Linked DNA regions of Caenorhabditis elegans. The protein of the gene in region 3 purifies or fractionates together with the protein of the main gene of each other region. This does not show direct contact. Each region holds a gene or a part of one and is shown on either strand. Other genes may lie near its edges.

Region 1 (7,541 bases), on a different chromosome or scaffold from region 3:
AGAAAACAGTAAAAAATATTGTTTAGTGCAATTAAAGTTTAGTGCAATATAGTTTTATTTTGAAACTTTTCATTTTACCAAGATTTTTTGAGTTAGCACTGAATTTCATTGATTTCTATTTAGTTCTTCGAATAACTTAAAATGCTTTAAGCACAGGCTCTGTGAGTAATTATGTTAAATAAATTAATTTGGCACATTTGAACAAAGTCGGGCAAACAAATTTTTAGCAAAATATTTCAAATAGAGTTTCGAAAAAAATTGGAAAAATTGAGTTTGAATTTTGATGAAACTTTTTGAAATCAGTTAATTGGTATGTTCCCCATATCAAACCCATTCAAAATCTATGACTGTTACTGAGAATTTGCAAAAATTGAAGCATTTTTCAGTTCAAACAGTAGTTATAATATGAAAAATGTTATATCTCAAAGAAAAAACATTTGTTGAAAAAATATCAAAAACCTTTTTAATTTTACTTTCAAAAAATATATTTTAAACTCCTGTAGCTAATCAGGTTCTAAAGTTTCGTCAGTCTTGAACACATGTATTCTTTTACAGCCCGTGTTTTTTTAAATTTCTGTTGTGATAGCTTGAGAATTTGGAAAGTTCTACATTGGATAAGCAACTACGAGTTTTCAGAATGTTTCCAAAACTATCGGAAATCAACAGAAATCTTAACAAAAAATGTTGTAATACAGTTTGGGGATTTGAAACTTTTTTAATTATTTCAGAAACTGAAGGAAGTTTTCAGAATTGTGCAAGCCACTAGAAATAAAAAAATCACATTATATCTATTTTGAAAAAAAAAACAATTGTTTGATGACGCTTTGAACTTATTTGATACTATTTTTGATATTCAAAATATTCTGTGTATACAACTTTTACCATTTTTTAGAATGTCTTCAAAACTATCAAAAGCCGCCAAAAAACTTATAAAGTGTTGAACTACTTTTAAATTATTGCAGAAACTGAGGGGAGTTTTCAGGAATTTCAAACAACTTTTAACCTTTAAAAACGTTCGAAAAATTTATAAGATTTGAAAAAAAAAACGTATTTTGTTTGTCAGACATGGCCGGTATTCTGGTAGTTCCTATATTATTAACATTTAATTTTTGGACTTTATCTTTATTTTCAGTATATTTAATCGTCAGAGTGGCAGAGCCACCGTTCTGGGGAGATATCATCTGCCTTTAAAGAGAGTGGCCTCTAGCAGGTAATACTATGGAAAAACATAGACACATCACCGTCTTTTCTACCTAATTTTCCAAGGAGTCGGCATCGCCCTGTATTTTTTGTGCAATTTGTTTTGCTCAAACCAGTTGACAGATGTCTAGGTGCTATTAGGACTAGGGGTGGCGATGGACTACAACAGGTGTACCTATCGCCACTACTATCCCGTATTCACAGAGTTGTAAACAGCATTAAATAGCAACAGAGATGGCGAGATTGAATATGTGCCAAGTTTGATGATGTACCAAGTATCAACCAACCAGCCTAGTCGATACATAGTTGTTTTCGTTATCTCCAATCTTTATGACGTTTCGGTCGGAAGGAGTCCTTTTTACCACAGTTACTTGTGAAATACCTTTTTTTTTAATTTTAGCTCGAATTCCATTTTTGTCATATGCACCAATTGTTTCATTGTACTTGTATTCCCAGTTTACTGGAAAAGAAATTGTTCTGGTAGAGCATTTTCAAATGTTGTGCTCCGGGTTTCCTGCATTATGTGATCCATTTATATCTTGTTACTGTATACTACCATATCGTCAATCCATTTTGAAATTTATTTCGAGAAAAGTACGAGGAGGCTCTGGCAGTACGAAATCAAGAGTGTCTACGATTTCAGTACGCTCCGTTAATCCTCATATCTTCTAATTTTGTCAGCCTATTTTTAACAGATGAAGTAACATTTTATTTTGAGAAGTTATTGGAATGTGTAGTTCATGCAAAAGCTTCTTTCAAAAACTCTAGTGTAGCCTTCCAAGATCTTTTGTCAGCATTCGCATCGTAACCGACTCCAGATGGGGCAATTTCAGCAGACTCTGAAAATTTGAACTTTTGACATTTCCCTGAATGAGCTCACGGAAACCAACCAGGATCAGTGAACGAATGCATTGCTTTCCCATGAGAAATAAAAACAAAGTCGGAATTTCTTGCTCTCATTTCTTCGTGGAATGCGTCAACGGTGACTTTTGAAACATGTGCGTCAGCATCTCCATGGTGAACTTGAATAAAAATATCATCTAATTGTTCTAAAGGAATTCCTTCGATAGGGGTCAGAGTTCCATGAAAACTTATAACAGCTCGAATTCCATCAAATCTATAACGAGCACAATCCAGGGAACACAGTCCTCCAATACAGAATCCAAATGCACCGAGCTTCTGTTTATCTACACATGGAACAGATTTCAAGGCATTTAAAGCAGCTTCTAATCTTGGTTTCAACTTTCCATTTCTATCGCTAGTCATAGGACGGAGCAGTGTCACTGCCGATGAGATGTCTGTGCATCTAATTCCTTTTCCATAAATATCAGCAACAAGAGCTACATATCCATGTTCTTCAGCCAATAATTTTGCCCTTGCAATTTCCAGTTTGGACACTCCTCGGAATGCAGGGAAAATCAAAACGCCGGGATGTTTAGTAGAGTTATCGGAGCTGAAAACATTGAATTATAGTTTCAAACTTTTCAAAAATCTTAAAATATCAATTATCAATTATCACAGACATCGGATATAACTTGAAAACTCTTATTTGTTGAAATCAATTTAGATCTATTTTAGATATACATAGTGTTCAACGGTTTCATTTAACAAGTAAACAATCAAATAATAACCTTGGTTTATACAGCTCTCCTGAAAATAAATTGCCATCCGCATCTTCATAATCAATAGTTTGATGAATCGACATAGCTTTCAATTCGGAAAAAAGCTATGAAATCTGAACTTTAAAATTTATAGAATCAGAAAAAGTTCTGCAAAAAATGACAAAATGATCATAATAAATACTTTTATACATTTACTTATCATATTTATTTCAAACAGGTTTGTTACGACGGAGAGATAGAAAAGTCACAAAATTTTGTGATCGTAGTGTACAGTACAACATTAGAAGATTTCTTTGAACAAGTCGAGAGTTGCATTCCATGATCTTTTTGCAGCCTTCTCATTGTAACCAATTCCTGGTGCATTGAAACTGTCAGCTTCTGGCTCAGTGAAAGCATGAACTGCATTTGCATGCGATACAAAGACAAAATCAGCTTGACGAGTTCTCATTTCTTCATGAAATCCATCAACTTGATCTTTTGCAATATGGAAGTCTGCGTCTCCGTGATGAACATACACAGTTGTTCCAACAATTGGATCTAGAGCAATATCAGGAATTGGTTTCAAAGTTCCATGATAGGATACAACTCCTTTGAGTCCAGCATTGTATCTTGCCAAATCGAGAACACAAAGCCCACCGAAACAATATCCGATTGCTGCAATTTTTGAGGTGTCCACTTCAGAGAAAGTCTTCAAAGTATTGACAGCGGCAAAAAGTCTTGGTTTCAGTTTCTCAACGCGATTGGAAACAAGCGGTCCCATTGTTGCAAATGCATCTGCTCGTTCAGTTGGTCTCACACCTTTTCCATAGACATCAGCAACAAAAGCAACGAATCCAAGCTAAAATTTGGTCTTTTTTTTTAAATCAGCATATTCCTGAGAATGCAGCTGTTATAGTTTTCCTGATTTTGTAAAACCTACTAAATATAGACTTTAAAGTAACCTCGGCAATTTGTTGGCCTTTGTCCTTTTCGAAATGCGTAATTCCTCGGAAAGCTGGGAAAATCAGTACGGCGGGAACTTTTGACTGTTTTACATTCCTACAAAAATAAATAAAAAATGAAAATAAAAAATAAAAAACAAACTTTGGAATATAAAGAACTCCTTCAAAGTTATTACCTTCCTCATCAGAATAATCAATAAGTTTCGTGGTAACGGTCATCTCGAAAAGAAGAAAACTAACAAGAGTTATCTAAGACGGTCAATATATATGTATACCTTTTGGGGTTTGACGTTGTCTGCGTATCGTCTCTATTACCATTATAACTGCTATATTTATGACCTTTCGTTTTTTTCTCTCTGGGTCTCTACGTTTCATTAGTGCGTAGCAAACATAGTTTCGGGAAAGTTCACAAACCAAAAAGTTGTCACAAAAATGATCAATATAAACTACATCTCTATTAAGACTTTAAACTGTGTTCAAAGCCATAAAAACTGAGCCAAAATTTTGAAGTTATCTGAATCTGATTAAAAATAACAAATATTTTTCTTTCTCTTTCATGAAAATTTATATAAATTTAAATAATGCATATAATATGAGATTTAAAATATTTCTTTAAATAAAGCCAAAGCAGATGCCCATGATCGATCCGCAGCTTTTTTGTTATATTTAACTCCGGGAAGTCCGAAAGAATCAGCATCTGAAAAATAAAAATATATCGTAAAGTTATTCGTAAACTATTTCTACCTGGCTCTGTGAATCCATGTTCAGCATGTGCATGACTGGAAAACACAAAATCCGCATTTCGAGTTCTCATCTCCACGTGGAATCCATCGACTTGTTCTTTTGGAATATGAGCATCCGAATCTCCATGATGAACCTGGACAGCTGTTTCAATAATCTTATCAAGTGGAGCATCAGGTATTGGAGTCAGTGTGCCATGAAATGAAATGGCTGCTTTCAGTCCAACATTGTACCTGGCTAGATCAAGCGCACATAGGCCTCCAAAACAAAATCCAAGTGCTCCAATTTTATTAACATCTACACACTGAACAGCCTTTATGGCATCAAATGCCGCGACTATTACACACTTTAATAGTTTACTCCTCTCAATTATCATTGGGCGTACAATTGCAAAACATTCTGCTTTGTCTTTTGGATGAATTCCCTTTCCAAATGGATCAGCTGCCAATGCGATGTAGCCCTCCTGAGCAAGAGCCTTCGCTTTTTCTTTTTCAAATTCGGTGATTCCGCGGAATGCAGGGAACACAAGGACACCGGGAAGTTTTCTCATTCTAGTTGTTCTGGAATAAATAACAAGTTTGGTTTGATAATTAGTTAAACCAGTCTGATACTATGTTGATGTCAAATGTTACCATTCTAATCATCAATCAGATTTCGTATGCTAAGTAAATTTAATATTGCATAACATTTATCGAAAATTTACAACATAGATTCAAATTTTTAATTTGTTTAAAATCCCTAATTTCAATAAAGTTGAGGCAATCGTTTGTCACAAAAAAACACCACACAACAGAAAGTCAACAAATGCAAACCTATCCGACTGGTGGAAGGAAAAACAATCTAATCCGCACACACTTTTATTATTCATGCTAAAATTCAATCTTCCGGCAAAATTCACATAAACTTTAAATTTATACAAACCTTGGAACATAAAGATCTCCTTCGTACACTTTTCCATTGGAATCTGTGTATTGAAGTTGACTATGAGTAACAGACATCTTGCCTTCGCGACACCAATAAAACAACTTTCACTTTTGTTGTTTCAACTACTTTTATAAGAAATTTCCTGAATTTTGTGTTTCTCTAGGCTCTCCAAATCTCTCCGATGAGCACAAAATAAGGACACATTATTTTGTGACCAACTTCACCATACATCCAAAAACTGTCGTACGAGACGGTCGCATCACAAATCTTAAATACTGGAATAACAATTTATAACGATATAGTCACAAAATTAGATATGAAATTAGCATTGTCCCTGACATGTAAATGTTACTCTGACAGTTCTGACAGTTCTGAGGTAGTTGTCTCTACACGCTCTGCATAATGAAACCACAGAAATCATGTTATTGTTTGGAGAAATTGTTGGCACAAATGGATTTGCATTTATTAGAGATTTTCCAGTCTATTTTTGTAAAGATATTCATTTTAATTTTATATTTATTTGAAAAAAAAACCAGCTTTGAATTTTTTTAAAAATTTGTTAGAAAACTATGCGTCTGGCTTTTATTCAGATCTTTTATGAGTGTTTCAATGAGGTTCTCTTAAGCCATACTGTACAGTTTTCAAAAACATCTTCCTTCTCGAAATCTGAGAATCTCATCAAAAACGACTTGGTATCGTCAATAATCTGTGAGAATTAAAAATGTGTACAAAAGAGGAGACTCATCGTTATTTTTCCCGAAAGTTTTGTTTCAAAGACAACCAAGCAAATCCATAAAATCATTATGGCCATTGAAACCCCTCGTCATATGTCATTCGAAAGAAACATGCTTCTGGTATTTTCTCTTCTTATTTCATTTGTGGCTGCAACCATAGCTCAAGCTTCTCCACAACTTCAAGTTGAATGTGACATTGTTCCAGTGACTGAATGTCCAGTAACATGTGGTGGAGGTTGGCAACTTATGAAGTACGCATGCGTGGAGAAGACCGACAATTGTGCATGCCCGTAAGTATATATAGTTTTTAAAAATAAGTTTTGTATGGTGTGTTTCTAATAATGTATATGTAACTACATTTTTCTCTTCGAAGATCCTTACTCAAGTTTTAAAGGAAAAATCCCATTAAATATCAATGCAACAACCGTCCTTGTCTTGGTAAAGATGCAACTCTTATTGACAAATACTACGATGAAGATAATAAACAACAACAGGAAAATGGTGTTGAATATGTAGAGGACAGCGCCGAAAATGTACCAATCAAGAAGGCTCAACCATAAAAATACATGTTTTTTATTGAAACAGTTTTAATAAATTACGACAAACAATGTTAACCCGTACATTTATGTGTATTTCCAGTAATTTAAAGCATTGGTGTATGCTCTTTTGGTTCGTAATCGGTATCTTCCTCCAGAAAATCATTGAGACTTGGTCTCGACGGTGATGCCAGATGAGGCGGGATTTTTGGAAGTTGTCGGCGGGGAATTGTTGGTGTCAGGATAGGGAAAGACATTCCAGGGACATCGGCGATCTGGAATAATTTTTTTTTTTGAGTTAAAGTACCGTATTTATTTTATTAATATGGCTGCAATACTATTTTTCGATGGTCTTCCCGCTTGCAATACTAATAGGGAGTGCAAGACTATTAGGGAGTGCAATACTAATTTTCAGAACATTTTTCTGACTTTGAGCTTACTAGTTTTTTTCTGAAAAAGCTCGAATCTTTATGTAAAAATTCAGAAAATTTGATTTTAATTGTAACATATAAGTTCAAAAACTTCAATCTCGTAGAAATTTTGTGAAAAACTGTAGCAAAATAGGCAATTTTTTTTGTTGAAATCCTGAAATTAAACGAGACGGGCCTGCAATAAAAAAGAGTAAACGCAAGACTATTAGGGAGTGCAAGACTAATAGGGAGTGCCATACTAATTTTCGGAAGGTCTCCGAGGGGCAATACTAATAGGGAGTGCAAGTCTAATAGGGAGGCCATATTAATAGAAGATATACGGTATATTTTCACTTACTAATCTGATTGTATTGTACATTGGTCGTTGTGGACGAGGCTTTGCTCGTTTTGCAATGAACTCGTTGATTGGGAT
Region 2 (7,156 bases), on a different chromosome or scaffold from region 3:
TTTTCATAAGCTAAAAAATATTTGTTCTTCTCAATTTTAGGCAGTCGCCTTCTGGGGTGAAACTGAAGACTTCTGGCACAAAGAGGATATGGTTAACAACTATAGGGAATATGGAATGGACGAGAAATATGTCACTATGACAAATGACACGAATGGCGATGAAATTATCGATGGATTCTTCTTCACAATTACCTATCGCAATTTCACCAATTTCCTGGAAGTCGAGTCGTTTTTGGAGGACCGTCGGGATATTTTGAAGAATTATTCGACCTATTTCAAAGTATTTTCACATCATCCATTTGAAAAAGTTCCCACGGAAAGTGCAGCTTCAGCCCCATTCAACTTTATATCCACGTCAGGTAAAGAAACTCTAAAAATTATCGTTTTTTTTTCCGTACCAGAATATTAAAACTTCCAAATATTTGTTTTTTTCAGTATCCGCCGTCGTACTAATGTCCCTTCTAGTGTTGGTATTTATCATGAATTTCGAGGCAATTATTTCTGTAGCAGTGTCAATTGTATCAATATGTCTCGGAATAGTTGTGTACCTCCATTTATGGAATGTGAATCTCGATGCAGTTTCACTGATATCTATGCTAATGTCAATTGGATTTTCCGTGGACTATTCGGCTCATGTTTGCTATCACTACTTTGCTCATGTGCATGAGGATGTAAGGATTTTTCAGCTTAGTGTGAGGGTATCGTAGTGGTACTATAGTAGTACTGTATGACTACTGTAGGGGCACTGTAGGAGTAGTGTAGGAGTTCTTCTGTGGTACTGTGGGAGCACTGTAGTTCTGTAAAAAAATAGTTTCAAAAAACTTAATCTACAGTAGTCTAAAATACAGTAACCTGGGATTCCGTTTCTACGAGGAATCTCCGTTTCATAAAGAATCACAACACTAAAAGTTGTGTGTGGCTGACTTAAATTAGCTCTACAGTAATCCCATCAAGCTAAGCCACTTATTAAGACGCCCGAGCTACAGTACCCCTTACTGTACTGGCATTCTAGTCAAATACTATACTATAAAATTGAAACATGCATTAACCCTACAGTACCCTAATCTATGATCTTATTTTTAAACTATTGTACCATCACGTGGTGTCAGAGAGTCCCATTTCGGTTTGAAATACGTAGATCTACAAAAAATGCGGGAGTTGAGACGCAGAGATTTCAACTGATTTTCAACACATTTCTCTTGGCGAAATATCCCCGCATTTTTTTTGTAGATCAAACCGTAATGGGACAGCCCCACACGATGTTTACATACTTCACACTACATCCACCATACCAAACAACCGTACCCCATTTTCAAACCAACTTCATATTTTTCTAGGAGCAACTCTGGAGATCACATAACTACGCCGAGACTCGTGACCGTCTTCTAAGCACCTTCCGCGGAGTCGCCTGGCCAGTAATGCAGTCCGGGCTCTCCACGATTCTTGGCATGTTCCCATTGATGTTTGTACGTGCGTATGTTGTAGCAGTATTCTGGAAGACTGTGATCCTGGTCGGTATACTTGGAATGCTTCATGCTCTCATTCTGTTGCCAGTAATATTCATTTTAACGCATGACATTAAGCTCTTATTCCGACGGAAACGTGCAGTTGCTCCTACTCCGCATTCGATGGAATTGGCTTCATAGAGCGTTTTGTTGTAGTTTGTATGTTTTTTTGAAAACCCAGGGTATTTTCTTTTCCATTGATTGTATTATCATCTAATACGGGTTGTTCACATCTCCATTGATTGTTTGATAACATGTTTGAAATAAAATTTTCGTACTCAATAGTAAAACAGTACACAGCTCTATGTTTTAGGTTACATATGAGTATGAAATAAATGAAAAGAGTGGTTCGAAGCACTTGAGAATTATCTTCGGTACTCAAGCAGCACTGTTACTGTAGCGAACAGAACTATGAAATTTTTAGAAAATTAAATTACACTAGTGAATTTATATTCCCACAATAATTTGAATTTTTACAAGGAGATATTAAAACTATTTATTGTATTCAATTATCAAACAATTTACAACAAACTTTAGTACTGAGTATCTGGGCGAATCTCGACCCACTTCTTGATAGCTGGAATCGCATAGACCTTCTCCCGAAGAGCAACCAACTTTGGCTCTCCCGCTGGAGTGAATAACTGATTTTTGTCCAAAGTTGTGATGCACTCCACAACTACAATATCGGCAAAAGTGAGCCCATCTCCAACCAAGAATCCTGACTTGCTCTTCTCCAGGATCCCATTGATGATTACGAAGAATGCATCTCTAGCCGGAACGACATCTGATTGCATGATCTTTGCAATCTCCTCAGCTGGCTTTCCAGCGGCATGTGCTTTTCCGACTTCTCTGAAGGATCCCATGAAATCCTTGAATTGGTCAACGATGGCATCTGCCCAAGCTTGCTCTTCCGGGGTTTTTCCAGCATATCCAAATTTATTGGCAAGATAGCGGATGATTGCAGCAGATTGTGGAATTTCAAATCCATCGACGGATAGGACCGGGACTTGTCCGAGTGGAGTTTCTGAAATACTTACTTTGAGTTTAGTGTTTGCCACATATAAATGACCTACTTTCTTTCAGCTTTTCCCATGTTCCATCTCCATGGGTCATACGGAAATCCTCAAATGGAACATCGGCAAGATGGAAGAGAATACGAGCAGCTTCTCCGTAGCCACGAGCGTTGAAATAGGTGAGTTTGTAGGAAGGCATAGTGATCTGTCTGTTTTAAATATAGGTATGTGTGATAGTGTGATTCCGATATCAAACAATTTTTCGAAATAGCATTGGAAAAATGCAGTCTTTCCGCATAGTCTTATCAAATATTTGACAGAAAAAGTCAAACCATGATTAATTTTTACAAAGTATTTCAGAGAAAAATAACAATTTAAGGTCAATTGTACAATTTTAAAAAATGTATCCTGGACCATAAAATTTTTTTAACTGTAAAATTGAACAGAACTGAGTTTAGCTTCAATCTAGATAGAAAAATAAAGTTAAAAATAGAATTAACACGTTCAGAATTAACGTATTTGAAAATAAAATGAGATTACATGAACATAACATAACGATTTATTGAATTAATATATCAGCACATTTAAAACAAACCTAGTTCAGGGTATCTGGACGAATCTCAACCCATTTCTTTATTGCTGGAATCGCATATACCTTCTCTCGAAGCGCGACCAATTTTGGTTGCTCCGATGCAGTGAAGAGCTGATGTTTGTCCAAAGTTGTGATGCATTCCACAATCACAATATCTGCGATGGTTAGACCATCTCCAACTAAAAATCCGGACTTGCTCTTCTCAAGGATCTTGTTGATTATCACAAAGAATGCATCTCTTGCCGGAACGAGATCTGACTGGATGATCTTCCCGACCTCCTCGGCAGACTTTCCAGCAGCGCTTGCTTTTCCCACTTCTTTGATTGATACCATAAAATCCTTGTATTGATCGACGATAGCATCAGTCCAGGCTTGCTCCTCCGGGGTTTTTCCAGCATATCCGAATTGCTTGGCAAGGTAGCGGTTGATTGCAGCGGATTGTGGAATTTCAAATCCATCAACTGATAAGACTGGGGCTTGTCCAAATGGAGTTTCTAAATAGAAACAAAAAATAATGTTCAATTTCTGTCTTGGCTACTTTATTTCAGTTTTTTTTAAATTTTAATATGGCGTTTCAAGGTCGCTATTACTTACTGGCTTTGAGATTTTCCCATGTTCCATCTCCAATGGTCATTCGGAAATCTTCAAATGGAACATCGGCAAGATGGAACAGAATACGAGCTGGTTCTCCATATCCACGCACGTTAAAATAGGTCAGCTTGTAGGATGGCATTTTAGTTAAATGAAAACCACAACCAGACAGTTTTCTTGTGTGATTCTGCAAGCAAAATGATTGGGAAAAATTCCTCCGCAAAGTGTTATCAAACTGTCGTGGAGATCAATAAACCAAAAACCAAGAAATGGATGGGGGGGGGGGGGGGGAGGTGGGAGAAGAGTCAATAAAAATTCGGACGGAGAGTCAATAAAATCCAAAATTCTACTTTAAGTTAAAATAAAAAATGTCGAACGAGGTAAAGTGCCCGCAATCCAATGAACGATAATCGAAGGAGTGGACATCATTCCGTTTTCTATTCGCCTCTTCCATGCACTTGCAATAAACAGAACTTGCAAGTGTTTGGTAGAGAGGCGGTGAGAGGGCACGAACCTGTGGCAGTCGGAACGAGAGACCAACTCGTTATCCAGCAGGCCACGCGTGCACTTGGCAGAAACGGTGTTGTTGAGAATGATGTTGAGTGCGGGTTTTAGAGGAAGAAGGCAGCTGCGATTGAGAGGAAAATTGCAAATAAGAATGCAAATAGTGGTGCATTTTAAAAATTTATTCGAATTTGTAATTATATTACTTCATTGAACAAAATTTCAAGAAAATTTTCGATTTAGTACTGAGTATCTGGACGAGCCTCTACCCACTTCCTGATAGCTGGAATTGCATAGACCTTCTCTCGAAGAGCAGCCAAGTTTGGTTGCTCCGAAGCAACAAACAATTGATTTTTCTCCAAAGTAGTAATATTCTCAGAGATGACAATGTCCGCGAAGGTGATACTGTCGCCGACTAGGAATCCTGACTTGCTCTTTTCAAGAAGCCCATTGAGAATCTTAAAGTACGAATCTCTAGCTGGAATCACTACTTCAGAAGTGATCTTTGCAATTTCTTCCTGAGATTTTCCAGCGAAATGTGCCATGATACGTTCGCGGAATGATCCCATGAAATCCTTGAACTGATCAACGATGGCATCTGCCCAAACCTGCTCTTCTGGGGTTTTTCCAGCATATCCGAATTTGTTGGCAAGGTAGCGGATTATTGCAGCAGATTGTGGGATATCAAATCCATCAACGGTCAGGTAAGGTACTTGACCAAATGGGGCGCCTGAAAAAATATATATATGTGAGTAAGTATTTGGAGCATTCTAAAAATTTCAAAATTTTCAGAAATTTTCCAAAAAGCTCCAGAAGTTGTAAAAGTTTCTAGAAAAAAATTTTTAGATTAAAATTCGAATCCCATCCAAAACTTCATCGTGAAAAATAATGTTTTTTTTATTGTGAATTTCCCGCTAAAAAAGTTTCGAAACAATTACATATACATAGCCCTAAAACTATTTTATAAAAAAAATTGATTTTTCCGGCGAAATTTTTTAAATAATTTTTTGTTTTAATTTGGAATGCCTTTTTTACGAAAAATGATGCCTACAATTTTTTGAAAAAAATTTAACCCATCCAAGACCGTGTGCTCAGAAAATTTGGCTTTCCCATTATTGTCAGAACTTTTTTTAAAATTTGAATGCCATCCATAACTTCTTATCAAAATATCGCGCTATAATAAGATAGGCAGGCAATCGGTAGGCCCCAAATCTCCACTAACCGTCTTTAAGCTTCTCCCATGTTCCATCTCCGTGTGTCATACGGAAGTCCTCGAATGGAACATCTGCCAAGTGGAAGAGGATACGTGCGGCCTCAGCGTATCCACGAGCATTGAAATAGGTGAGCTTGTAGGTAGGCATTTTTGACAACTTTTCTGTAATGAAGTAGTATTTATACGCAAAAAAGGAAAACTGGAACGCCGAAAATAATTGGACAACAAAATAATCGCATCAATTATTTTTCTGTACAACTTTGCCAACCCTTTTTATACTATATGTTTACCGTCTATGTCTCTGCCTTCACGTGTGCTGGCAGTTGATGCTTGGTTGTGTTTGAACAATTTGAAACGATTGATCTTTTGCCGTTTCCTGCCACTTTGGTTTTTGGTTGTGGTTTTTGGTTTTGTTGAAACTAGGACTTCAAAAGCCTGAGCCTGAGCCTGAGCCCAATTTGACGGTTTGCCGATTTGCCAGAAGTTTTCAATTCCGGCAATTTGTAGATTTGCCGGGTTTTCGGAAAATTTAATTCCGCAATTTTCCGGTTTCCGATTTGCCGGAGGTTTTTAATTCCGACAATTTGCAGATTTGCCGATTTGCCGAAAATTTCAATTCCGGCAATTTTCTGGTTTGCCGATTTGCCAGAAGTTTTCAATTCCGGCAATTTGTAGATTTGCCGGTTTCTCGGAAAATTTATTTCCGCAATTTTCCGGTTTCCGATTTGCCGGAGGTTTTTAATTCCGACAATTTGCAGATTTGCCGATTTGCCGAAAATTTCAATTCCGGCAATTTTCTGGTTTGCCGATTTGCCAGAAGTTTTCAATTCCGGCAATTTGTAGATTTGCCGGGTTTTCGGAAAATTTAATTCCGCAATTTTCCGGTTTCCGATTTGCCGGAGGTTTTTAATTCCGACAATTTGCAGATTTGCCGATTTGCCGAAAATTTCAATTCCGGCAATTTTCTGGTTTGCCGATTTGCCAGAAGTTTTCAATTCCGGCAATTTGTAGATTTGCCGGTTTCTCGGAAAATTTAATTCCGCAATTTTCCGGTTTCCGATTTGCCGGAGGTTTTTAATTCCGGCAATTTGCAGATTTGCCGATTTGCCGAAAATTTCAAGTCCGGCAATTTGCCAGTTTGCTGATTTGCTGGAAGTTTTCAATTCCGGCTATTTGCCTATTTGCCAGAAAAAATCGTTTTCCGCCCACCCCTGATTTGTGGTCTCGCCCGTTATTTGTCCGCGGTCCCCGCCAAAATAAAATTGTTCTAATTGTAAGTATAAAAATAGTTGCATGAATATTTCTGAATTTATTTCAATTTATTCACAAAAGAAATCCAGAAACTAAATTAATAAATAGTATCTGGTCGAATATCCACCCAGCTTTTGATTGCCGGAATTGCGTAGATCTTCTCCCTGAGAGCTGCCAATTTCGGGTGCTCCGATGCATCGAAAAAATGAACTTTCTCCAGGTTGGTAAGACTTTCCACCACGACAATATCAGCAAATGTGAGCCCATCTCCAACGAGAAATCCTGACTTGCTCTTTTCAAGGAGGTTTGTGATGATTTCAAAATACGAATCTCTAGCAGGAATTGCAACTTCTGAGGCAACTTTGGCAATTTCCACATCCGATTTTCCAGCCTTTTGTGCAAGTTTAAACTCTCTAAATAGGCTCATGAAATCTTTGAATTGGTCCACAATAGCATCTGCCCAAGCCTGCTCCTCTGGAGTTTTTCC
Region 3 (7,956 bases):
TGTTTGATTATTGAGATCGTTTATTGAATACTTATAAATGTAATTTAATAGTCTAGTTGTCTTCATCAGAACTCTCCGTATCCTGTTCATCACTTTCATTACTCAGAGGGTTTCTGTACAAATGCAAAGAACTTCCACACTGTTTTGCCGCTTCTGCAACAGTTTGTTTTCCAACCGGGACATGATCAACTGAAGGGAGAAGCTCAATTGTATCCTCTGAACAAACATAATTAATCAAAGATAATATTAAAAACCAAAGTACCTTTATCATTAAGTCTACTCGCACTTTTGCTAAATCTCGCAATACTAGTGCTTGGAGCTCTACTTCTTGATTGTAAATAAGAATGAATTCCAGAAGGCGCAGTGGAGTTCGTGTCTGGTCCCATGCTCAGAAGTTGCCTTTGAAGTGATAGTTCGCGGAGCTTCTTCTGATTGTCACGAATGCTAATGAATTCGCCCAATGTTTCACTGTAAATTAGCTATGTACAAACATGTACAATAACTGAAGTTAAAATGTAAAATATACCCAGACGTTTTGTCGTCTCTCCATTTCTGCCCTTCTCTTGACCCAAAAAAAATGAGCACGAGTGCAAAAACAAAAAGAATTGAAACACCAAGAATTATGGCAAATAAGACGATGCTAAAACCATGTTCTGAGTATCCATATAGTTCACGTGGGGGTTGTTCAGGTTTTTCGTTCAAATTCTGAAATGTAAAGACATTTTTTCTGAAATTTTTTTTTGAAAATTTCTGAAATTAAATTCTAAAATTTGAAGAAAACATTAATCACATGCCCGGTCCGCTTCTTTCAGGTTATGGTTACTTGCCGCAATACTTTCGTTTGCTATTTGCCAGCTCACCCCGATAACCGCACGCGATTATTGTGGCTATGTAAAATTTCAAGGCCAAATGCATATTTTATGCTTAACTGTCAAACTTTGCTAATCCGTCCATTTCCATCTCGCTACTACTTTATTCGAGCCGTTCAATTGGTTTGTTAAGCTATTCTTCAGTGTAAAATGTTGAATAAACTAATAATCAAATGAAAACTAAGTTACGGTCGCTTCAAAGCTGTGCATTTCTCAAAACATGTAGAGTTTTGTTTAAAAGTTACCTGATCTGGATTCGCTTTTGTCAGTTTCTCTTCTTGTTCATCCTTTATCAATTCATCAATACCTTCTCCTTCAAGAGATGAAATATTTCTCTGAATTAATATTTAAACATTTTAGAATGTTGACAAATTTAATTATTTTGTTCTTACTACCGCAACATTACACCAGTCCACCGGAAATGTTGGTGCAAAATACTTATTCATCACGACAGATGAGGGATTTGAACAAAACTCGGGCATAGTTTGTAAATTGTGTACAATTGACATGGTTCCGGGATAGAACTTTTGCTGTGTACCAACATACACCATTGTTCTGAATTTTTCAAAAACTGAATTGAATTAAAACATTTTTTTACCCGAAACTATTTTTGAAAATGTGCTCCTTGCCACGTGGAATAATGTATCTGGAGCGAACACCTGCAATATATGGGTTTACATTTCTTCCCCGGAATGTGTTTCGCAATGAGTTTTCTAGTTGACCTGAACAATATTATGATGATGATGACAAAAGTGTGTTTTTTATTACTCACTTATTTTTCTGTCTCGATTTGAAACTAAATCCTCTACATCTAGTCCATTTATTGGCAGTTCAAAAACTTGTTGCGTATTTCCTTGATACAATGCTGCAAAATTACAGTTTACTGTTTCTTTTTTTTAATGTTCTAAACTATAAACTAACAGTCTTCCACCAAATTAATCACCACCATTCTTTGCTGTATATCAAAATTATCCAGTCGTTTCGCAATCACGTGTAGTGTAACATGCTGCACATTTGTGACCGGTGTGCCTGAAACATACATAACTACGATAAAAATCATAAGATGATTTTATTTTTATGAATGTACTGGTGTGTTAATAACTAATCGATCACCTATTAGATAAGCGATTTCCGGGTGTCGCGACGGTAAGAGACGTAACCAGTTTGGAAGAGCCGGCTTTTTGTTTAGCGTAGCTTCCCATTTCACTTTAACTGAAAATAAAAGAGCAATTGATAAAAACGATCAATAGTTTGCACCTGTGCTCGGGAAAAAGTGTGCAGAATGGAGAGTGTGGACAAAAAACTTTCCCTTGGTTGCAGTCACGTGAGTAGGAGCTTTGAATGATTTCGACGTTCGAAATAGCAACAAAATGGAGAATATCGAAAAATCGAGTAAACGAATTTTCATTTTAAGTGAAGATTTTGTGTGAAAGAGATGTGTGGAACGAGATCCTTTACAACGGCTGCTCGCTGAGCCGTCCGCACAAACTTTTGCTTTTTACACAGCTCAACTGGGTTGGCGGTTTGAGGGAAGCTGCCAACAAGACCCGCCGGGGAAATCATTGTTGACGATATTTTAGAGCATGATGAACTTGATGAGATAAACTGATGTGGTGGGGTTGATTGATGTCGTCTCAATAATGTTTTTAAGATAAAAATAATGAATATATACATTAAAAACGATACTTGAAAGAAAACGTGATATGAATGTCTTTATTTGGAATTTTGGTTTCAGGAGAGTCTCTCTTTCAGAAATTCAGAAAAGGGGTGAACAATTTTTAATCTAAAAGGTAAAAAGTTGTTAAAGAAAGAGTAAATATTAAGAAAATTGTAAATTTTTCAAAGTTAGACTTTTTAAAATCATTAAAAAAAACTAGAGCTAGGTAAAACTTCAATTTTGTTTAATTAGCCTTGACACAGCGGCTGGGAAATAATTTATCATTCTACAAAAAGTTTTTTCATTTTCGTCATTTATACACTTTTTTTTGTTGAAAAAACTAGAATTCAGAGTTTGTCAAAGGTTGGGTATTGGCCGTTGTGAAAATGAAATTTAAATTGTGGTTTAAAGGTTTAAGACTATAGTGAAACTTTTCAAACGACTTTTTAAATTTTTTGTGCAGTCGAAAATTCAAGAAAACTTAGTTTTCACCTATCATAATTCTGGAAGTGGCTGGAAAACAATATAATTTCCAAAATTTCAACTTAAAAGTATATATATCTAAAAGTTTTTGAAGTATGTATATTTATATTATGATTATTGGTCATGCACGACTAATATAAGTGTTTTTAAGCCAACAAAAAATATTGTTAAAAAACTTTCGGCCAATTTATAGTAACACATGTTTTACTACTTAAAACTTCAATACTTGGTTCAATGAAACAAATTTATAAAAATTACTTCAGGTTCTAAAATTATTAGTAATTGTATACACACCTGCTCCACCACTGCAACAGTTCTCAATTTATTTCATCTAGTCCAATGTCCAAATTCTGATTTCGTATTCCCTATCTACTTCGTAACGAAAATTGTGAGACAATTTGACGATAATGATAATGATTTCATATTTTGTGAAAATAAGCCGATTAAATTTTTAACGTGTGGAACTTTCTAGAACTAATTTTAAAGTGTAGTCATATTTTAATAGGGGAGAACAAATCTGAATTGTAGGCCATTGAAATTGTTATTTTGATCAGAATGACGATGAGGGTGTGACGACGACAAAGCAGTGTTGACTTGTTGCTGAAAGTACATATGATTTTGCTGGAAAAAGTTTAATGTGTTCTTTTGGCAAACAGAACGCTATAAAATCCGGATCCTTGTCAGCAAGTCATTTTGTCAACCCGGACACTTTTTAATGGTTTTCCCTCATTTTACACACAAAGTACACTACTTTAATAGCCGATCTAAACTTTTGACTCGGTGAGAGGAAATAATTCCGTTTTCAGCCAGCCAACCTCCTCTACTAATTATCACTAAAATCGGTTGTGACGTTTACAATTATATCATCAAGAGTTTGTGTCGCATATAAAAGAAACCCGGAGCGCTGCTTCTCAATTAGTGATAACGCACCATGTCGGGCCGCGTTTTCCTTCTTCTGGCTCTTGTCGCCTTGGCTTCTGCCATCCAGAGGTTAGTTACATTTTTAATATACCATTCATATATTTAAATTATTTTATTTTATTTATTTATCATGTTTCTTCTTTTTTTAGAATCAAGCTCGAGAAGCGCACTTACACTCGTGAACAATACAAGTTCGGATCAATCCAAGAGCATCTTAAGGCCAAGTACGTCCCAGGATACATTCCAAACAAGGATGCATTCAACGAGGGTCTTTCTGATTACTCCAATGCTCAATACTATGGACCAGTGACCATTGGAACTCCACCACAAAACTTCCAAGTTTTGTTCGATACTGGATCCTCCAACTTGTGGGTGCCATGCGCCAACTGCCCATTCGGAGATATTGCCTGCAGAATGCACAACAGAGTTAGTTTTGAAGTATTCAAATCAACTTTTTTTCAATAAAATAATTTTCAGTTTGATTGCAAGAAGTCTTCTTCCTGCACTGCTACTGGAGCCTCTTTCGAGATCCAATACGGAACTGGATCCATGAAGGGAACCGTTGACAACGATGTTGTCTGCGTAAGTCAATCTTATGATGTTATTTACAATATAGCTGAAAAATATATTTATAGTTCGGACATGATACCACCTACTGTACTGATAAGAACCAAGGATTGGCCTGTGCTACTTCTGAGCCAGGAATCACCTTCGTCGCTGCCAAGTTTGACGGTATCTTCGGAATGGGATGGGACACTATCTCTGTTAACAAGATCTCTCAGCCAATGGACCAAATCTTCGCCAACTCCGCCATCTGCAAGAATCAACTATTCGCTTTCTGGCTTAGCCGTGACGCCAACGACATCACCAACGGAGGAGAAATTACCCTTTGCGACACCGATCCGAACCACTACGTCGGAAACATCGCTTGGGAGCCACTCGTCTCTGAGGACTACTGGAGAATCAAGCTCGCTTCGGTTGTCATCGATGGAACCACCTACACCAGCGGACCAATCGACTCGATTGTTGACACTGGAACTTCCCTTCTCACTGGACCAACTGATGTCATCAAGAAGATCCAACACAAGATCGGAGGAATCCCACTCTTCAATGGAGAGTACGAAGTTGAGTGCAGCAAGATTCCATCTCTTCCAAACATCACCTTCAACCTCGGAGGACAAAACTTCGATCTTCAAGGAAAGGACTACATCCTTCAAATGTCCAACGGAAACGGAGGATCCACCTGCCTCTCTGGATTCATGGGAATGGATATTCCAGCCCCAGCCGGACCACTCTGGATTCTCGGAGACGTCTTCATCGGACGCTTCTACTCGGTCTTCGATCATGGAAACAAGAGAGTTGGATTTGCCACCTCTAGAACCGGAAAATAAGCCTATTTCTAATTTAAAAACTCAATTTCTATGCCATTACTTGCTTGATTGTAATAAATGTGGTTATGTGATGATAAGAAGTTCTAAAACAGTTCTTTCTATACGTTTGCAAGAATTCTAAAAACCCTGACTGGCTTCTTGATAACAAAGTTTACATTGGGTGGGAGGAAAACACAATTTTATGAGTTTTATTTTATGCTGTACTCAAAGAAAACAAAAAATCCAAAGCTTTCGCGAAACATGTGGTTCTCACTTTTTCATGACGCAAGAAATTTTCGTACTTTTCTCACTTGTTCCAGCATGATTCAAATGCTTTGATACACTCCATTTCCACATGTTTTAAATCTCACTAGTGAACACTTTCCGTAGAATCCTCCAAGAGAATAGTGGCACATTTGTGCTACAAACAATCTGTTAGAAATTTGTTTATATTTTTGACATTCTTCCTTCTATTCCTTCTATTCCTGCTAGCCGATCCTCCTCCCCTCAACTTAGAAGAGACATTTGAGATGTTCGATTAGATTTTATTGAAATATACACTTGTGCACGCAAAAACCGCGCGATTATTGTGCAATACCATGTCGTGTTTGTAAAGGAAGACCGCACACAATGCATGTTTCCGGTGACTCGGAAAATATACGTGAATTTATGCTTTGCGTAAATAGAAGTTACGAAACTTCTTTCTTCCGTTTTTTCTCTACTTGAAAGTCTGAATTTTTGTTTTAGACTAAATTCAAAATTTGTTTTGAGAAATTTTTTTTAATTGAGGGAACTTTCCCTGGATATTTTTCTAACGCTATGCAAAGCATTGCAATGTGCTAATTTTTAAAGTACAACTATTCTAAAAACTTTAAAATGTTTTATTTACTGTCAAAAACTTATTATAATATTGTCAGTCGACAAGCTACAAGAAATTGTAGTTTATCATCATGGTATTATATTAATTTAAACTATAATATTCAGAATTCAGACCTAATCGGGCTGTAGACTTTTATTTTTTACGTGTTTTTCAAATTTTAATTATCCTTTTTTTTTCAAAAAATGGCGACCTAATAAAAATGATATTAGCCTGCCGTTAACTGAAAAACTTATAAATTACATTTTTGCCATAAAATATAATCTGAATTATAACAAGAATGTTATTCTGATCAAAATTATTGAATTTTTCATAAAACGGTTCAAATGTACAAAAAGATTAGTTTCCTAATTTTTGATTTTTTTTCCTTTTTTGGGCAAAAAACTTATTTTAAAAAACAACATTTCGCGTTTTTTCCAAATAGTTTTAAAAAATTGTATTCAGCCCCACTGACGATATTCTAACTTTGAAAAACTTTGGATACCAATAAATAGGCAACCCATAACTAAAAAAAAGTGTGTTTCTCATTTTTATTTATTTTTCTGAAATATTCCAGATTTCATTTACCCGCTGGTACTTTCTCATAGCCAATATAGTATTCCATCATTTTATTTATTGTTTGATATCACATTTCCACTGACCACCTCTCCATTCACTGTGAAACAAGACCTTGAAAATATTTTCCCACATTGGGTGGGGTAAAATGCATACACCATCTAAACCTATTGTTCGAAAACGCTTCACCTGGGAAGGTTATTCTTTTAGTGAAAATTGTGATTTTGAGCGATATGATGCATGAATAGGTGGCTGATAATAAAATTAATCAATCAATCGTCTTTCATCTTACTCTGATCTCTTTGCTGGTCGCGATGTGATAGAATAAAAAACAGTTCATAATTCTTTTTTGGTTTTTGATGTGGACTTCCAGTTCTCTATCTTCGATCACATGCTTAGTTGGTCATCGGCGGACTGGCATCATCAAGAGAGCTTCATAAATCTTTTGGAAATTATCATAGGCGGTTTCGCCAAAAAGGGGCAAAACGCTTAGTATGTGCGATCAGAAATGGGAATGTAGGAGGATGAAGAGGAGCAGGTGATTTGCGTGCGCATCCGATGGCCTCTTTTCCTGCATCCTTCTGTCATCTATCATATGGAGACTCATTTCAATTACCGCTTCTTATTCGATCTGTCCCGTCGCCACTCTTCTTGCTCGCTTTTTCGTCGTCCTAAATACACTCTTTTTCCCAATTCCCATCACATTATTCAGCACATCACAGTTCCCTCAACCCCACTAGCCCATTCCTCAACGACACTTTTCCTTTTTCTGTCGCTCTTTTTTTTCCCGGACATAACTTACTCTCATAACGCGCTCGTACAATTTGTTGAGTTGGAATTGCAAGGCGGAAAAGTTACAGCAGCAATGCTGAAATAAGAAAAAAGCACCTACAATTTTACGAAGCGGCTGCTTTTCTTTTTTCTTTTTTTCCCCTCCACACATACACCAACATAACAATCAAGAATTTAGTATTAGTATTATGTGGTATCAGTGTTGTTCTCTTCCTTTGTTTAATTCAAAACCTGTCACGGCTGTCTGTAATATCGAGAACTGTAATTAAAACTATGCGTTCTTGAATTGCATTTTTCCCAATACTGTCAGTTATTGGCGCCAGATTTTCAAAAGAGTTTCCATGATAAAATTCAGTTGTTTCATGGTTCAATTGTTCATTTAATTTTGTTCAATTCAATCTACTACCGTTTTCCCTCTATTAGCATTTCATC
Region 4 (7,938 bases), on a different chromosome or scaffold from region 3:
ATATTCATTACATTTTGATACGGGTTTATTCATTGCATTACAGAAGGAGTATCATCAATGAGGGAAATTTCTTAAAAATGTAGCTTGTCGCGAATACGATGGAGAAGAATCTCCAACGATCACGACTTTCATAATTAGAGTCACCAAGTGTACTGTTAGTTTAACTTATATAAAATACCACTGAACGCAATGCGAAACATAGCTCAAATGCTGAAACTTACCAAAAATAGGTAAACGGAAAAAAATCCGTTAACACTGTAAATTGTGCCACCAAACGAAAGTGACTCAAAGATTTCAAATGAAAGTGGTAACAACTTTAATAATTTTAAAGGGACAGTTTTAAAACGTGATTCTCTAAAACCAGGTCTGTCATTTATTTATCATTCCCACTCAAAACAGGTGAAAATGAACAACTACACTAGAAAGAAAAACGTAAAACTTTGTGATCTCAAAAGCAAATCGGCAATTATTTCAGAGTCGCGAGAAATACACGTACTAGGCTAACCCCACAATTTGTCATGTTACTTATTTTTTGTTCGGTTAATTCAATCAATTGTCCCTGCCATGGAGTATGTCCTTTCACAGCTCAACGAACAAATTTTGATTTGCAAGTGAAACTTGGGCTCGATGTGTCGGAATATGTTTCAAAAAATGTGATATTAATTTAATTGATTATATAAAGCAGCTGCAAAATTGGTATTTTTTCCTAGAATAATTTTCGAGGAATGTGTACCGACTATTGAACAGAACACATTTTGTTCAACTTGTGCAAAAATTAGAAATTTGCTAGCTTTTCATTTTTGAAAGCCTTTCAGGAACGTACTAATTGACAACGAAAAACTTTTTCACTTTAGTGTGCAAAACAGAATTGATCCCTTTTCAGAATAAATCGACAGAGATAAGGTAAACAGTTCAAAAACAATTCTGAACGATCATTGACATAACTACAAAAAGGTTTGATCGAAAGTTAATAATCATTTCCCACGCTTGAGTCTTGTCATATCTAAATTTAATTCTCCCTTCTGCCGCAATTTTACATTACTCAGTTTTCCAAAAAACCAAATGATTACTCAACTAAAATTCAATCAATTTTTGTCTATGAATTATATTTTCATTGTAGTTTATTCAATTTCAAAACTAGAATTGAACGATTATTTAGAATTGAGTCTCTGGACGAGTTTCCAACCACTTCTTGATATTGGCATTTGAATGAACCTTCTCCTGATGCGCCTTAAATTGTGGGAATTCTTCGAGAAGAGCTGGATCAGTACTCAATATATCCGCAGTGTGCTGAGCAATGAGCAAATCCACAAACGTCAGCGAGTCTCCAACCAAGTAACCGGATCCTGCAGTTTTAAGGAAATTATAAATGAATCCGTAGTGCTTCTTGAATCCTGGAAGAAAGACATCCTTGGAAAGAGCATCAAGATCTCCTTCAGCAAATCCCATCTTCACCATCACATATGGACGAACTTCGTTGCGATAATCTTTGAACTGATCAGCGATCGAGTTGACTTGAGCCTCCTCCCATGCACACTTTCCATTGATTCCGAATTGACGAGCCAAAAAGCGAGCGATAGAATGAGATTGTGGAAGAACCTTTCCATCGACCTCTAGAAGTGGAAGTTGCCCGAATGGGGTGGCTGAAAGTCATTGTTAAGCTGCTTGAACTTCAGAAACTTCAAAAATTACAAATAGAATGTTTGAGGAAAAACTATGTTTCTCGTCTCTTTTATATGTTTTTTTGATGAAGCCAATGACAACTAAAAAAACATCTGATCAATTGAATTGAACTTATTGTTAAATAGCTTAAACTCACTTGGTTTGACAGCTGCCCATTCCTCTATTGAAATTCTATGATCCTCAAAGCTTTGTCCAGCATATACAAATATCTGTCGAATAACCTCTCCAGCTCCACGGATGGGGAAATATGATAGCTTGTAGTGGACCATTATTACTACCACTTTTCAAGTAATTGGGGAGTACAAGTCTGTGATACAGTTTGAAATAAAAACCAAGAAGTTTCTATTTATACTCATATTCTCTAAGTGTGTGTGTACTGTTAAGTCATCACTGCTTTGATCGCACTCTGCTGACAACAAACCACAAATATAGTTTGGCGTTATGTCTGTTTCAATGAACTGGTTGAATTAGATAAATGTACATTAAAATAAAGAGTATATTGGAAACTTTAAAGTTTGTCATCATTTACTCTTCCCACTGCGCAGATGTTACTGACAACTCAGTTCAAAAAGTGCCTTTTCATGATGATTCGGATGTCTGAACAAATATATCGGTTGCTTCTGCTATCTTATTTTTTAGAGAACTTTTCAGAATAAATAGATTTCAATGCAATCATTTATCCCATATCAATACAAAAATACATAAAGAGACCATGTGAATTTGGAAATCATTTAGAATGGAGTAACTGGACGAGTCTCCAACCACTTCTTGATGTTGGCATTCGAGTGAACCTTTTCCTGATGAGCCTTGAATTGTGGGAATTCATCGAGAAGAGCTGCGTTGGCAGCCAGAAGATCAGCAGTGTGCTGAGCGACGAGCAAGTCGACAAAGGTCAAAGAGTCTCCAACCAAGTATCCGGATCCAGCCGACTTGAGGAAGTTAGCAAAGAATCCATAGTGCTTCTTGAATCCTGGAAGGAAGACGTCCTTGGCAAGAGCATCGAGATCTCCTTCAGCAAATCCCATCTTCACCATGAAGTATGGACGAACTTCGTTGAGGTAATCCTTGAATTGATCAGCAACCGAGTTGACTTGAGCCTCCTCCCATGCACACTTTCCATTGATTCCGAACTGACGAGCCAAGTAACGGGCGATAGCATGAGATTGGGCAAGAACCTTTCCGTCAACTTCAAGGAGTGGAAGCTGTCCGAATGGAGTGCCTGAAAAATAATATAATTAAAACCTAAAGTTCAAAGTTTTCTTTGAGTAAACAATCATTGACTCCAAACTTCTATCTCTCAGTCATACCAAGCACTTTGTTTACATCTCTAGGTGTCAAACTGCCTAGAGTTTAGCCTTGAATTTTTTTTTCCTTTTTCAAGGTCTATTCATTCGAACACCGAAATTTCAATAACTTTCAAAAAGTAACTCAATAACAACTTCAATCTACTCTAAAGGCAAAAAGGCAATTTGTGTGACCTAGTTAATAGGAACAGGAAAGGTAAGGAATATACCGTACCTGCTACTTTAACGGCTTACATCTCGGTTCTCTTAACTTTTATCAAAAAATGTTTAACTGACAATATTTAAAAGTATATTCTTCACGTATTTTGTCAGTCAAAATTTTTTTGATAAAACCAAAGACAGCTTAACTAAAAGCCTGCAACTATTTCTAAAATGAATTTTTAATTTGGAACTACTTATAAGATTTCAACTAACAATTTCAATATCTATGCACCTATTCAAACAATAATTTTCAATCCCAAACTCACTTGGCTTGACAGCTGGCCATTCCTCCTTTGGGATTCTGTTGTCCTCGAAGTCTTGTCCAGCGTAGGCCAAGATCTGACGAGCAATCTCTCCAGCTCCACGAATTGGGAAGTACGATACCTTGTAGTGGACCATTGTTGAAATAACCAAGCAAGAAATCGAGTGGTCGATGAGAAGGGTTGAACACTGAATGCCGGCCGTCTCTATTTATACCCATTTCTCAAATGTCTGTCGTCTCTCCACTCACCATATTCTGTAGTTTGTCATCATTTGCTCTACACATTGCGCGCACGTTGTTGACTAGAAATCATAAAGTGTAGTCATCGTTTTTTGTTGTTGCAATGTTACGATGAACAGAGTAGGTCAAAATAATATTGGTTGAAAAAAATATATGCAAGGTTTTGTGACTTTTCCAGATCTTTCGAAGGGAATGTTGTGTCACAATTTGTGACTACTCACAAATATAAACCCATGGCATCAATCATCTTGTTACGCTTGCCATTATTATTGAAGATACCATGATAAGAAACTACTATAACTGACACAAAAAGTCACAAAAAATATTTTTTTTTGTTTCTGAAATTTTTCCGACAGTACAACACAATTTCATAATCTCGCGCAAAAGAGGCGTAGGCATTTACCGCAGCCTACGTGCCTGCCTACAGCCTAATTTCTGGGAAGGTGCCTGATGAACAATGATTTCCTATGGAATTTGTCTTTGAAATAATTTAAGTCTCACTTTGAAACACAAACGTGCTTTCTTTTGAGGGTTATACACCTGCCTTTGAAAAGACTATCCTCCAAAAATAAATAAAAGATTACATATTTATTGTGCCCACCGAAATTTGAAAATTCTTATTATGTTCATGTTCCAGAAAACGACGCTTTTGTAATTTTTGACAATAAAAGTCAAATTAACATTATGACGTGATTGGTTTTGTGCTTTGAACATTGTGTCTCACCAGGGAATGTTCGGAAAGTTTTAGCTATGATGGTAAACCACAAAGGAAGGCGGTGTAGGTCTGATTTGTACCTAAAAGCATGCCTACTTCCCAGGCTTTTGTAAATATCCTGTATATTTCAACACTCTTGCAATGCAAAAAGCTTCTATAGAAACATCCTGCTGAAAACTTTACCATAAAATTTTTAAAAGAACAATTCATTCAAGATATTTTAGAAACATCGATTTCCATTAAAACAAATTAGCAAAAAATTGCTTCTTGAAATATGAATTAAAAAATAATACAAAATTGCAAACTCATTTCAATTTAGAATGGGTAATCTGGACGGTTTGCAATATACTTCTGAATTCTGTCGATGCTCTGAACCTTCTTACGATGTGCCAAAACCTTCTTGAACTCCTCAACAACTGCCAAATCTTTATCCAAAATATCTTGAACGTGCTGCGAAATCAAAAGATCCACCCATGTCAAAGAGTTTCCAACAAAGAAACCACTGTGATTAGATGCCAGAATGTTCTCGAAAAACTCGAAATTCTTTTTGAAAGCTGGAACAAAAACATCAGTTCTCAGTTGATCCTTGTCTCCAGGTTTGAATCCAGCAAGAACTGTTAAATATGGGGAGACATCGTTGAGATAATCCTTGAATTGATCAGCAATTGCATCCACTTCTGCCGCCTCGGTGTCATTTTGTCCAGCAATTCCGAACTCTCTGGCCAAGTACCGAGCAATTGCATATGACTGTCCCAATGGTTTTCCATCGACTTCCAAAATTGGCAATTGACCGAATGGAGTGTCTAGAAATTTGAAATTTGAGGAGAAGTGTTTTAAAATAAAATCTAATCTTAATTTTAAAAAAGTATGAAGGTCTTAGAAAATTTTTCGGATTAGTTCGATCTCCAGGAGCGACTTTTCCACAGTGTCCAAGATGTTGTCAGAAAGCACAATTCCATAAAAAGTTTCAAGCATCAAGTTTTCCTCGTACCTACAACCTTTTTTCTGAACTTCTGACTGATCACCCTAAATCAGGAAATAAAAAAAACAATCAGAAGCATAATCCCAATTTGCAAAGTGATTTTTTTAAAGTATTGAATCATGGAATACTGTTCTAGTTCGGATGTGAAAAGTTAGAGAACTTTTGTTTGCAATTATCTACAATTTAAAAAATAAACAAATACCGAAATGTATGAAACGTAGTTTTCAAGTTTTGAAACCATTTATCTTTGCCAAAAGTGTATAAACTCACTATTTTTGCGTGCTGGCCATTGTTCAAAGCTCAGATTCTCCTCGGAATAATCCTGTCCTGCATAGGCAAAGATTTGTCGAGCAATTTCAGCACGGGCTCTTAATGGGAAGTAGACGAGCTTGTAGTGAACCATTTCGTGAAATTTTTTCCTACAAAATGAATGTGAATTATCATCAAATACTGGGTTATTCTTATCATTTTTTGTGTGCTCTACTATCATTATTTACTTTTCAATATATGACTGAAGATATTTGATGACAAAACCAAAACTTGAGAGCACAGCGTTTTTCGGATCACTTTCAAGATTGACTATAGTATGATCAACCGTGATTTCAGAAATCAAAAAGGCTTTGAGAGGATAATTAATTTTAAAGCTTTATGGGGAATATACAGTCTGTTACTTCTTGATATCATGTCAATTCTTGATAATTTCTTTTTTGGAAAGACCTGAAATTAAGAAAAAAACACATAATTGCTTACTTATTAAAATAGATTTAGGAACATTTATAGGATGCGTACAATTTCGCCGATTAAAATTGAAATTCTGAAATTTTGGTAATTTCTGATTTCCGGCAAAATGCCGGTTTACCGTTATTGCCGGTTTCCCGTTTTTTTGCCGTAAAAAAACATTTGCCGCTCACACCTGAAGTGCCTTAGAGTTGCATTTCTTTTCCTATACTTTCATATTTTCAAAGTTCCAATCTTGGTATACATCACACTCAACGGACCAAATAACTTCCTAAAATCGCTAAACTGAGCATCTTCAAACTGGCGTATCTCGAAAAATACAAGTCTGAAAAACAATTTTTAACTAACAAAATGATCAGAAACATTTGTTCTTTCTATTACATTAATTTGTATATCAACAACTTTTTGTAGAGTTACACAGAGTCAAAGCCATTTTTCCAAAATTCAAAGAAAAATTTGAGAACTCTTTTGTTGTACCCTTTATAACTCAATATTCATTGAATTTCAAAAGATAAATTTTGTTAAGTAGTAAGTGAAAAATATTTCTCCACATTTTATCCGTTTTAAGTTTTTCGATATTTTCATGTTCCGCCAAGTTATAGACCGTTTTCTGAAAAAATCCAATCTCCGTCATAAAAATCTTCATATCCAACGTATCGACTTGAAATTTTGAAAAATGATCATTTTTTTGAGGTTTCTACAATGTCCTAGAAAATCTTTCAAAAATGTGGGCTCATCTCCAAAATCGTCCTCCGCTCCAAAATAAGAAATGGGACTTTTGCTTTTCGAAAAATGAGCGGAAAAATGAAATTGCGATTTTTGGGTCGAAAAAAATATTTTTAGAAAGCTGAGAACACGCTATTTACGAATTTCATGTTCATTTTAAGTGATTTCTTCTCTGAAACGACCTAAAAATTCTCTGTGCAACTCTGCAAATAATTAGTTTTTTGCAGTGAAAAGTAATGCAAATAAAAGTAAAAATATTTTGAATCATTTTGTTAGTTAGCAATTTTTGCTCAAGACTTGTATTTTTCCAGATACGGCAGCTTGAAGTTACGCAATTTAGTGGGTTTAGAAAATTAAGTTGACCACCGAGGCTTCCACTTTTGCTGGCAAGTTTATCCGTTTTGCAATTCAATTTTTTCAAATCTGCGATATTAGTAGAATTTTTGATTAATTGTTATTATCGTGAATATAGCAAAAAAGTGAACATTCACATTTTTGTGAAACTATTTTTTTGGAAATTTACTCTTGCTGGTATGACTATACCTTGTTTTCAGATATCATTAACTTTTTATTCTCATTCCATTTCTGTCTCACTCATTTTCATTTTCAATCCTTTTCTCTCTTTTTCCATCACTTTTTCGTTTTTCATCGTCGGACGGACGAGAGACCTCACCAAGTACCACACCACAACAGGCAGCAGTTTATTAGCAAGTTTCTCACGTCTCTCGTTTTCAGGAAACGTTGGAAAATGGAAGAATGATGAAAGAAGAAGATGAAGAAAGCCCTGTCATTGGTTATGGTTCTTTTTTGAGAAAACGGTTATTTGCGGCTTGATTGATATCGCTTTTCATTGGCAGAATGAAAAATGAGGAGAATTTTTGAATAATTAATGGGAAGTTAGTGTCAATTTTTACAGTTGTGCCCACTTGAAATATAACATATTTTTTAGTATCTATCCTGTTTTTATATCGACAAAGAATTTAGGCTAGTTTTTGTAAAAACCCATATTGAAAATTTTAAACAAAACACCTACTCGTTGGGTTAGTTAGTTAGCCTTGATATATAGTTTAAGCTTGTCTTGAATTCT

What was found.
Region 1: the proteins of asp-3 (region 3) and D1022.4 fractionate together in Caenorhabditis elegans (co-fractionation; one large-scale study listed by BioGRID). This does not show direct contact.
Region 2: the proteins of asp-3 (region 3) and gst-26 fractionate together in Caenorhabditis elegans (co-fractionation; one large-scale study listed by BioGRID). This does not show direct contact.
Region 4: the proteins of asp-3 (region 3) and gst-7 fractionate together in Caenorhabditis elegans (co-fractionation; one large-scale study listed by BioGRID). This does not show direct contact.

The regions. Positions count from the first base shown.
Region 1 is NC_003280.10:7,453,305-7,460,845, forward strand, and holds D1022.4 (Dienelactone hydrolase domain-containing protein), read right to left. Parts: upstream 3,989-7,541; 5' UTR 3,983-3,988; coding exon 3,906-3,982; intron 3,861-3,905; coding exon 3,764-3,860; intron 3,661-3,763; coding exon 3,103-3,660; 3' UTR 3,010-3,102; downstream 1-3,009. Other genes in the region: D1022.3 (Dienelactone hydrolase domain-containing protein), read right to left, coding at 1,939-2,039, 2,091-2,653, 2,832-2,905; D1022.5 (Dienelactone hydrolase domain-containing protein), read right to left, coding at 4,363-4,460, 4,508-5,064, 5,426-5,502; D1022.2 (TIL domain-containing protein), read left to right, coding at 6,232-6,452, 6,557-6,722; sro-1 (G-protein coupled receptors family 1 profile domain-containing protein), read right to left, coding at 6,806-6,973, 7,467-7,541.
Region 2 is NC_003280.10:15,161,827-15,168,982, forward strand, and holds gst-26 (glutathione transferase), read right to left. Parts: upstream 2,728-7,156; 5' UTR 2,718-2,727; coding exon 2,579-2,717; intron 2,530-2,578; coding exon 2,039-2,529; 3' UTR 1,991-2,038; downstream 1-1,990. Other genes in the region: ptr-20 (SSD domain-containing protein), read left to right, coding at 41-359, 436-671, 1,338-1,646; gst-27 (glutathione transferase), read right to left, coding at 3,114-3,604, 3,705-3,843; gst-28 (glutathione transferase), read right to left, coding at 4,445-4,935, 5,428-5,566; gst-29 (glutathione transferase), read right to left, coding at 6,767-7,156.
Region 3 is NC_003284.9:6,787,251-6,795,206, forward strand, and holds asp-3 (Aspartic protease 3), read left to right. Parts: upstream 1-3,813; 5' UTR 3,814-3,940; coding exon 3,941-3,999; intron 4,000-4,079; coding exon 4,080-4,356; intron 4,357-4,407; coding exon 4,408-4,512; intron 4,513-4,565; coding exon 4,566-5,321; 3' UTR 5,322-5,459; downstream 5,460-7,956. Other genes in the region: bgal-2 (Glycoside hydrolase 35 catalytic domain-containing protein), read left to right, coding at 1-14; sgca-1 (Dystroglycan-type cadherin-like domain-containing protein), read right to left, coding at 53-216, 263-468, 527-705, 1,115-1,204, 1,262-1,424, 1,468-1,591, 1,642-1,734, 1,791-1,898 and 2 more. UniProt on the Caenorhabditis elegans protein: Aspartic protease. Part of the necrosis cell death pathway. Involved in neuronal cell degeneration. Involved in heat stress response.
Region 4 is NC_003280.10:4,877,768-4,885,705, reverse strand, and holds gst-7 (putative glutathione S-transferase 7), read right to left. Parts: upstream 3,615-7,938; 5' UTR 3,588-3,614; coding exon 3,455-3,587; intron 2,903-3,454; coding exon 2,415-2,902; 3' UTR 2,348-2,414; downstream 1-2,347. Other genes in the region: gst-8 (putative glutathione S-transferase 8), read right to left, coding at 1,156-1,643, 1,820-1,952; gst-6 (putative glutathione S-transferase 6), read right to left, coding at 4,721-5,208, 5,658-5,790.